Linked DNA regions of Neurospora crassa OR74A. The main gene of each other region encodes a partner of the protein of the gene in region 2 in a complex. Links are inferred from orthologs where the notes say so. Each region holds a gene or a part of one and is shown on either strand. Other genes may lie near its edges.

What was found.
Region 1: the proteins of NCU09025 (region 2) and NCU00660 are in contact, whole or in part, in a crystal structure (PDB 4N0H), measured with the Saccharomyces cerevisiae proteins. The link is inferred for Neurospora crassa OR74A from reciprocal best matches to the Saccharomyces cerevisiae genes PET112 and HER2. Residues at the interface, in NP_009473.2 of Saccharomyces cerevisiae: Tyr66, Ile69, Ala70, Leu71, Pro72, Gly73, Thr74, Gln75, Pro76, Val77, Arg105, His107, Phe109, Tyr110, Gly111, Pro114, Gln115, Gly116, Tyr117, Tyr123, Leu177, Asp297, Arg299, Tyr300, Met301, Pro302, Pro304, Glu305, Pro307; in NP_014021.1 of Saccharomyces cerevisiae: Val56, Leu69, Phe72, Pro75, Phe76, Arg176, Phe177, Gly178, Val179, Ile180, Gln184, Ser185, Met211, Lys212, Asp213, Pro214, Thr215, Ala291, Glu292, Ser295, Asn296, Ser298, Arg299, Tyr300, Arg304, Tyr305, Leu319, Phe320, Arg324, Asn339.

What each region holds. Positions count from the first base shown.
Region 1 is NC_026501.1:7,652,778-7,656,977, forward strand, and holds NCU00660 (glutamyl-tRNA amidotransferase), read left to right. Parts: upstream 1-1,378; 5' UTR 1,379-1,488; coding exon 1,489-1,597; intron 1,598-1,668; coding exon 1,669-3,188; 3' UTR 3,189-3,395; downstream 3,396-4,200. Other genes in the region: NCU00659 (uncharacterized protein), read right to left, coding at 3,451-4,148.
Region 2 is NC_026507.1:366,770-371,300, forward strand, and holds NCU09025 (glutamyl-tRNA(Gln) amidotransferase), read right to left. Parts: upstream 2,872-4,531; 5' UTR 2,840-2,871; coding exon 896-2,839; 3' UTR 43-895; downstream 1-42. Other genes in the region: NCU09026 (feruloyl esterase B), read right to left, coding at 3,377-4,531. UniProt on the Saccharomyces cerevisiae protein: Allows the formation of correctly charged Gln-tRNA(Gln) through the transamidation of misacylated Glu-tRNA(Gln) in the mitochondria. The reaction takes place in the presence of glutamine and ATP through an activated gamma-phospho-Glu-tRNA(Gln).

The DNA.
Region 1 (4,200 bases), on a different chromosome or scaffold from region 2:
TGTATCTCGATCCTCCCAGGCATTTGTTTTTCTTCTCCCTCGAAAGATGGCGGAGATCCACGCCATCTGCATCACTCTCGAAGAAATCTCCCGACGACTCAACAATATAAGCAGAATCTCTGCGTAAGTTGAATATCACTTGTAACTATGGAATTCATGCGCTAACTTTTGTAAGAAAACATGCTATTCATGTGCAGAACTGCTCAGCATGGTACAAAGTAAGTCTCTGACTACGAGTGACTTCTCGATATCTGTACGCTTGCTAATAATATCATGCTTTAGCAAAACCCGCGATTGAGGAAATGGTGGGCAACCGCTTGCTTGGCCATCACGGTGTTTGTGGTATTATAGCAAAAAGCCACGGGAGACATTCCAGCAACCCAAAGACACCAAGGCCACCGTCACAGGATCCACACTTCCCACCTCCCATGCAATATATCCCACATCCGTGCAACATACGCAGCGCGTTAACGATGGTCTCTCTTCGGATCGACGGCTTTTGAGAGAGAACAATCACAAGATTGTGATACCTGCGGTCACCCAACTCCTATCCAACATGTGCAATCTGCATCCTCACGAAGTCCTATGGGCCCGCAACACTATTTCCGCTTGGTTCGGAAGAGTGGGCTGGGAAAGTGTCGCCTGGTTGTGGTTGTTTGTTGGGGGATCACTGATTCGGAGGCCATAACATGATCAAGGAACCTGAAGATGGCCTTTTGGTCTGCTATGTGGGGAATTTAGGAAACACTACTGGCCGATTTTGCAATTCTTTCGTCGTTGATCGGCTACTCACTGGTGTTTCCCCATGTTTTTGCCTGTCACTGCTTTGATATGGTTGTTTCTCCTGGGGTTCGGTCTAAAGGGCAGCAACACCTCAACGATAACATTTACCAAATTCCCTGACTACCGGAGCAGACATCATTATCATCCATGAAATTCCTGTATGTCGGCTCCAAGGATGTATTAGCGTTCATTGGAGTTTAGATATTCACACCTTCAGTATTCTTCACAGTAAAAACAGCTAGATGTGATCAGAAGTTCACATGTCATCCCTTTAAATCCCCTGGCAGGTCTCGTGGTTCTCGGTAGGCCAGAGATGTGGAAGTTCGCTTGGAAACACACACACCACTGAAAAGGAATCACTTATGGCTATGGATCAAGCTCCTGACTGGCCAGGGACACACCCTCCATGTCTGTTAGTCTCACTAAAGCAGGAATCTATGCCCCGGAGTAGCTGACCTAGCGTAGAATAATGGGAAACCCTTGACGACTTGTCACTTCAGAGAACGTACGTACTCAACCCTAACCCTTATCAGCTTTACCCCAGCGACATAGGTATTGTCTGGAATCCCCCTCTTGAGCTTTCCACGCTCCGTCCGAATCTCTCCCGATTCCCGACCACGGTGAAGATACAGAAACATGGTGATCCAACACCGCAACCGACCCAATTGAGCGCCGAACAGAGCTGGGTCGTGACCAAGAAACCACATGTCAGCTAGAATTGGGCGGCTGCGGGGCCTATGTCTGCGCCATGTGAGCTCGACAAGGCAAACGTCACCCATCCAGCGACGCTCCCTGAACCAATTCATATCCAGAGGTACCGAACCGGGCTGTGTGTGAACTTGAAATGCACTTATACCTGCTGACAAGAGTCTTCCTGGTCTGTAGTGCAGCAACATGACCAACCCGCGCTCGAACAGCGGCAGTTCCGTCTCGCCGTCAAAGACAACATCGCCACAGTTTCCCCCAATTCCGAGGAGGAAACGCCTCTAACGACGACATGCGGCTCCAACTTCCTTGCCAACTACCGCAGCCCCTTTGAAGCCACCATCGTCAGCCAACTACGATCGCGCGGCGCTCTCTTGGTCGGCAAGACGAACCTGGATGAGTTCGGCATGGGCAGCCACTCGGTACACACGGCCTTTGGAGCTGTCGCGCAGGAGGGGGAGCACGAACAACAAGCAGTCAAGCACTCCGCGGGTGGCAGCTCAGGCGGAAGTGCCGTAGCCGTAGCCACGGGCGAAGCGGACATTGCTCTCGGCACCGACACAGGCGGCTCAGTCCGGTTGCCTGCCGGGTACACGGGCGTGGTGGGATTCAAGCCCTCGTACGGGATGCTCTCGCGCTATGGCGTGGTTCCCTATGCCAACTCGCTCGACACGGTGGGATTGCTGGCGAAGGAAGTAAGGCCCATCGCCGAGCTTATTCTTGGAGGAGCCGACAAGGTAACAAGGGGCCTCTGGGCCGAGCACGACCCGCTCGATCCCACGAGCCTCTCCCACGGGGCGCGCAGACGGTGCGCCAGCCAACGGGACTGCTACACCGGTCCCCTTCCCAAGGACCCGTACCCGCTCAAAAACCTCAAGTTTGGTCTCCCGCTCGAATACAACATTACGGAACTCTCGCCTTCCATCCGGCACAGCTGGTCCGCCGCTGCCGCCAAACTGCAATCCCTTGGCGCGCGCCTGGTCCCCGTCTCCCTGCCCTCAACCCGCCACGCCCTGTCGGCGTACTACGTCATCGCGCCCGCCGAGGCTTCGTCCAACCTGGCCAAGTATGACGGCATCCGGTACGGCACGCGCTTCACGTCTCCGACCGAGAGCGATGCCGCTATTTCGGAAGGCCCAGAAGGACGAGAAGAAGAAGAAGAAGGGATCCTCTATGCCCGCGCCCGCACCGCTGGTTTTGGGGATGAAGTTAAGCGTCGTATTCTCCTAGGCGCTTACACCCTATCCTCTGCCGCCATGGATAATTACTTTCTCAAAGCACAGAAGGTGCGTCGGCTGGTAAGGCGGGACTTTAACCGCGTCTTTGCGCTGCCCAACCCTCTTCTGGACAAGCCGGAAAGATTTGAGCTTAGCGAGTTGCCTGAGACGGTCGGGCTGGAGGATAAGTGGGGGCCTACGGAGGTGGATTTCCTGCTGTGCCCGACGGCGCCAACGACTGCGCCTAGGCTGGACGAGGTGCTGAGTGAAGAGGAGAAGGATCCGGTGAGCGCTTACATGAATGATGTGTTCACTGTGCCGGCGAGCTTGGCGGGGTTGCCGGCTATCAGTGTGCCGATGAGGGTTGAGGATAAGGAGGGGGCGGGCATGGCTGGGTTGCAGCTTATTGGGCAGTATTGGGATGATGCTAGGCTGCTGGCTGTTGCAGAGACGGTAGCTGATGTTGTCAGGGAGGAGCTATAGATGGCTCGAATTTTTGATGCGGTATAACAAAGACCCAATGGTCTTATGGGTATATTTGGGTTTGTTTACATGATTGATACCCCTGCATATCCATTATTTACGTCCATATTATTAGCAGCCCATAAGACATAGAGAGCAGTCCGAAACTCTCATACAATACCATCCATTTCCAGAAACATACCTAGGAAAAACACCAAAAGAACCCCCCCTAACAACTCCATCACCTACCTCCCTGGGTATCCGCCAACACTTCCTGTCCCACTCAGTTATGGTCAACCAAATGCCACTCAAATACCTTCTCAAACACTTCCTTCCCATTCCCCACAATCGTCTCTCCATGACACGGCACAATCGTCTCAAAATCCCACCCATCAATCCTCCGTACACTCTCGTTGAACCCTGCCCGATCCCCCCGACTCATCGCGTACCACAAAAACCTCTTAATCCCCTTGGCCTCTCCCTCGGTGTTATTCATCGCCTGGAACAACCTCCCCAGTAAACTCCCGTGCGGCTTTTCCGCCTCGGGAACCTTGGAGTACTGCTCAATGGCAGGCAGGTTGAACATGAGATCGGCCTCGATCAGGACTTTATCAGGCTTGTAGTAGAACACCAGCTCCTTGTTGGGGTGCGCGTCGACGTATTCATACTCAAAGTCGGCATCAAAGGCGTCGTCGATCTTGATACTTTTTTTGTTTTCCTTTGTAAAGACGACGGAAAAGGGCTCGTGCCCGATGCGTTCGTCGTCGGTCACCTTGGCCCGCTTTTCCGGAAGACCCTCGGGACCAATGATTTTGGCGTCGGGAAAGGCCCGCGCCCATTCGGATACAAAGATGTGGTGCTCGATATCGGTGGCGACGATGTAGCTTACTTGGCCGGAGCCGAGCGAGGAAACGCGGGAGCGGGCCGAGGGCGTGAGGGCTACGGGGGAGAAGACTGCTAGGGTGTTGTTGGAGAGACGGACTATTTTCGATGGGTGATTATGCTGTGTTAGTGGAACCGTATATATATATAT
Region 2 (4,531 bases):
AAGGTGAGGATGGGACAAAATCACCAGAAAGTGGTGGAAGGGGAACATTAATATATGAAGCTCAACAATGAGCGTCTGATTGATTGGATCTAGACGAATACTACCTTGTTAAGCGCAACACAGGACTCATGGCAGCGGGTAAATCGCCTGGCCTGGTTCCGTTATAGTGAGAGGGGTTTGAGCCTGGTAACTTGTTTCCGAGATATTGCAATCACTGTCCATTCGCCTCCTTGAGTGTCCATCAGTGTATGGCTAAAGTGTTGTGCTTTGACCCATGGCCGGCCGTTTCTCCCCATTGTACACAACCATCTGTTTCCGAGGTCTCGTCATGCGCCAGCCAATGGACCGATTGACGACCAATGAAACTTTATTAGGGTAATCGAAAGCATCTTATGCCAGTCGTTGCCTTGTAAAGAGCGATAATCACCAATGGTAAGCTTAGAAATGGCTCCATAATACGTCGCTTGAGAATGTGGGAAGGAGGGGAAGTAGCAGTCAATGCGAGCCAAGATCGGAATGTGACGCCGCATGGCATGGAAAGGGAAGGCCGACGAGCTCGGAACGGCATGCAGTTGGTTCTTGGTCAGAACGGTCTGCAACTGTTCCGTTTGCCGAGAGTGCAAGGTGTAAAGCCGAACGTTGTTCTACCTGGGCCAGGCTTCGGTGTTATCGTCCATTGAAGCGAGCGCTTGACGTGCCTTTATAGTGACGATAGCAACAGGACCACGGCCATGGATCTCCCCTCCCCACCGCTCTTCTTCCTTGTTGTGGGTGGTAGATGGTCACGACAGGTTCGTGATCAGAAGTCCGAAAGCTTGCGTGGAGGCCAGTGGACCCGAGTCGATGACGGTACCGAGACCCCAACTACGGGATTCCCCATTTCGTGAACGCAAGATTACTCCCCCTTCTCCAGCTCAGGCAAATAGACCTCTTCAATCCTTCTTCTCAACACCCTTTCCGCCCCAGAAGCCTCCACCCTCCCCTCCGGCCCCCCTCTCATCATCTTTCCCACCAAAAACATCAGCTTTCCCTGGGGATACGCCTTCATCTTCCCTTGCTTCCACCTCAAGAACTCGCCCAATATCTTCTCCTCTCCTTGGATAACCTCATCCGCCAGTTTTGCGTATTCCTCCTCTGGCAGCTCCTTGAACCAGAGGCCGTGGGTATCAATGTAGCTGGTTGTTCCGCCTTCGGGGATCTCGCCGCGGTAGACAGCCCAGAGGAGGTCCTTGGCGACTTTGGCGGTGATGGTGCGGGAGTAGAGGTGGTGAAGGATGGCGGCTAGGGAGGAGGAGGGAACGAGGGGTGATTCGCCAAGGGGCGTCATGGCTAGGCCTTCGAGGACATCTGGATCTGAACAGGAGGAAGAGGAAGCGGAGTCGGTGAGCTTGCCGAGTTCGTGGAGACACCAGTTCGCAGCCAGGGTTGCGTGTTCCGCGCCTTCTGGAACGGCTTGCCCATCGGCGACGAGGCGTTCCTCAAGGGAATCAAGCACATTGTAGAAGTACTGAATCCTGGCTCCACCATCAAGCAACATCAACGACAAGGCATCCTTGGCGCTGAGGTTATACCTCTCCATCAACTGATCCGCCTCCTGATCCGGCAACACCCCCATCGTCTCCCTCAACCTTGCCACCAGATCCTCCCCGATCACCACCGGCCCTAGGTCCGGATCAGGCATATATCGATAATCCACCTCGCCTTCCTTCCCTCTGAGCCTTCTCGTCTCTGTGCTTCCCAAGCTCCACCCTCTCGTCTCCCCCTTCACTTCCCCGCCTTCCTCCAGTAGCTCAATCTGCCTATCCCTCTCAGCAATAATCGCGTCCTCAACCGCCTTGAAGCTACTCAAATTCTTGATCTCCGTCCTCGTGCCCAACTTCCCACTGGGATCATCCGTCCTCCTGACCGAAACATTCACATCGGCCCTTAGTCCGCCCTCCTCCAGCCCGCTCACGCACGCATCCACACTCGCCAAAACCATCTGCACCTTTCTCACCAACGCCGCCGCCGTAGCGGGGTGGTGGATTTCGGGAAGCGTGATGATCTCAATCAAGGGAACCCCGACGCGATTAAAATCCAACCACTGAACATCCCCGGGTTGTGCCGTAGTCTTGGCCGTGTCCTGCTCCATCTGCACCTGTTTGATCCCGACTTTTATCTCTTCCCCATCCTCCGCCGCGATCCCGTCCCTGGCGTAGAGCGTGATGAAGCCATCTTTGGCAAACGGCTCGTAAAACTGCGTGATCTGGTACCCGCTCGGCTGGTCCCAGTGGAAATAATGTTTCCTGTCGAACCGACTGACGGGCTGGATGGAGCAGTTGAGAGCCAAAGCGGCGCGGACGGCGGGGATCAGTGTGGCGGGCTGGAAAAGCGGTTGGGAGCCGGGGAGGGCGAGGTCGAAGGGGGCGACATGGGTGTTGGGCGGGTCGTTGAAGGACGTGGTTGCGGGAGAAAAAAGCTTGTGGGCGGTGTTGAGCTGGGCGTGGATCTCGATGCCGACGGTGAGTTCCCAGCCGGGGACTGTTTGGTTGTCGCTGCTCTTTTTCTTTTTGTGGCCCGACTTTTTGAGGGCTTTGGCTTGTTCTTTGAGTTGTTTGCGGAAGGGGGCGGCGGCGGCGGGAGAAGAGGTTGTGGCTGAGGGGTTCGCGAAGGAGGTTTCAGTCGTTAGGTAGCGGGCGTGTTGACGAGGCTGAAGCTGTCGCGAGGGGAGAGGAGCACCGCCGAGAGCTACGCGCGTATTCTTGCCGGGAAGTGCGGCGCGGGCACGAAGACAACCGGGAGAGGCAATGTGACCAGTCAGTAGATATCTACTGAGTTCGACAGTGGGGATTCGAGGCATTGTAGGTCGGATGGTGTCGGCGTCAAGCCTTCGTGTTGTGACCAAAGGCGGGATGGAGAAAAGGAAAAGAGGAATTGGGAAGGAATTGGGGATTCGGGGAATTTGGCCCGACGTGGTGCTCCCCTCATGGTGGTCATAGCTCCCAACCCGTTATCGCTATACAGGGGATCTTATCACTTACACGGGACTTGTCTCCTCCAACCCTAACCCCGCCTGTTTTCTAGACGAAGGGAACAGAGGACATGATGATTAAACACGACCATTAATATGTCAATGTATTATGAAGTTGCCAAAGAAGAAACTTAAATGATTATTAGCTATGTATTGAATCCAAGCTGGTGCTAACAAGATGCCTTTAGAACAGGCTATCCTTCCTCACCGACTCCCCAAAGCCAAGGTACTTCTCCAGGACCCTGTACACTAATGTTCCTACACAACACTTCTCCTCAACCGTCACAACCAAAACATCTCCTTTTCCTGTCCATTACCAAAAATCATTCTTACCCTTTCCATACCCCTTTTTCATCTTATCCCGCCCTAATCCACCTCAACCTCCCCCTCACCACCCTCCTCCGGCCACCTACACTCCCACACCTCCTCTCTATCCACATCCACATCCACATCCACATCCCCCCCATCCTCCATCTTTTGCACCACCTCCTCCTTCAAAACACTCTTCCCCGGCCACGCACAAACCTTTCTCTGTCTCCTCACCCCACCACTAGCATTCATCCCCGCCCTCCAACTCGTTGCCACCAACTGCCTCACCTCCCTCCCCTCCTCCACCCACTTCCTCAGCGCCACCAACGCATCATGCTCCTCACTTCCCTCGAATCCGGGCACCGACCAGACCCCAGACCCCATGACACCAGCCTGGAACGCCCCGCCAATATTCCACGGCGCATCCACCCCCGCCGGACTAGCCCAGCAGTGCTGCATCCCTGGGATCAAGAACATCTTGAAGAACTCTGTCGTTTCGTCGCCAAAGTACTGCATAGTCCGCTGGTAGTAAAGTTCCGACCCCTTAGTGGGTACTAACCCGTCTGCTAAGCCATGATACAAAATAATCTTGCCGCCGCGGGATCTATAGGCCGAAATGTCGTAGTGATCTGCTGTTGCTTGGCCCGGGTCGAGACGCTCAGCGAGGTCGACGACGGAATCGGAGTAAGAGGTGGTGTAGTCCCAGGCGGCGTTGTCGAAGAGAAAGTTACGCTGGTAGCCGATGCCAAAGGGGGAAGGGAGGCCGTTGGTGTTGCCGATGATGGCCCACCATTGGGCTTCGGAGCCGAGGGTCAGGCCCGGGTAGATGAGTTCGCCTGTGGTTTCGTGGTGGTGTGAGGAGTATACTTTGGCGAGGGTGGAGAGTTGGGGGTTGGTTAGGCAGGTTGGTGCTGGTTCGTTGGATGGGCAGAGAAGGAGGGAGGAGTTGAAGGTGCAGAGGTCGGGACGGCTGATGATGCCGTCTTGAAGACCGTCGGTTGGGTCGCATTGGCGGACGACTTCATCGGCGACGACTTGGAGCAAGGGCGTCGGGATGTAGGAGTCGATGGTGTTGGGGAGGTTGTACATGCCCAGCTGGGTGATGTAGTTGTTGAGGTGGGAAGTCCACCAGGCTGGGGCGCCGACAAGCACGCCGTCGAAGGAGTCAGGAAATTCTTGGATTTCGCGGAGACCCTGGCGGCCACCCGTAGA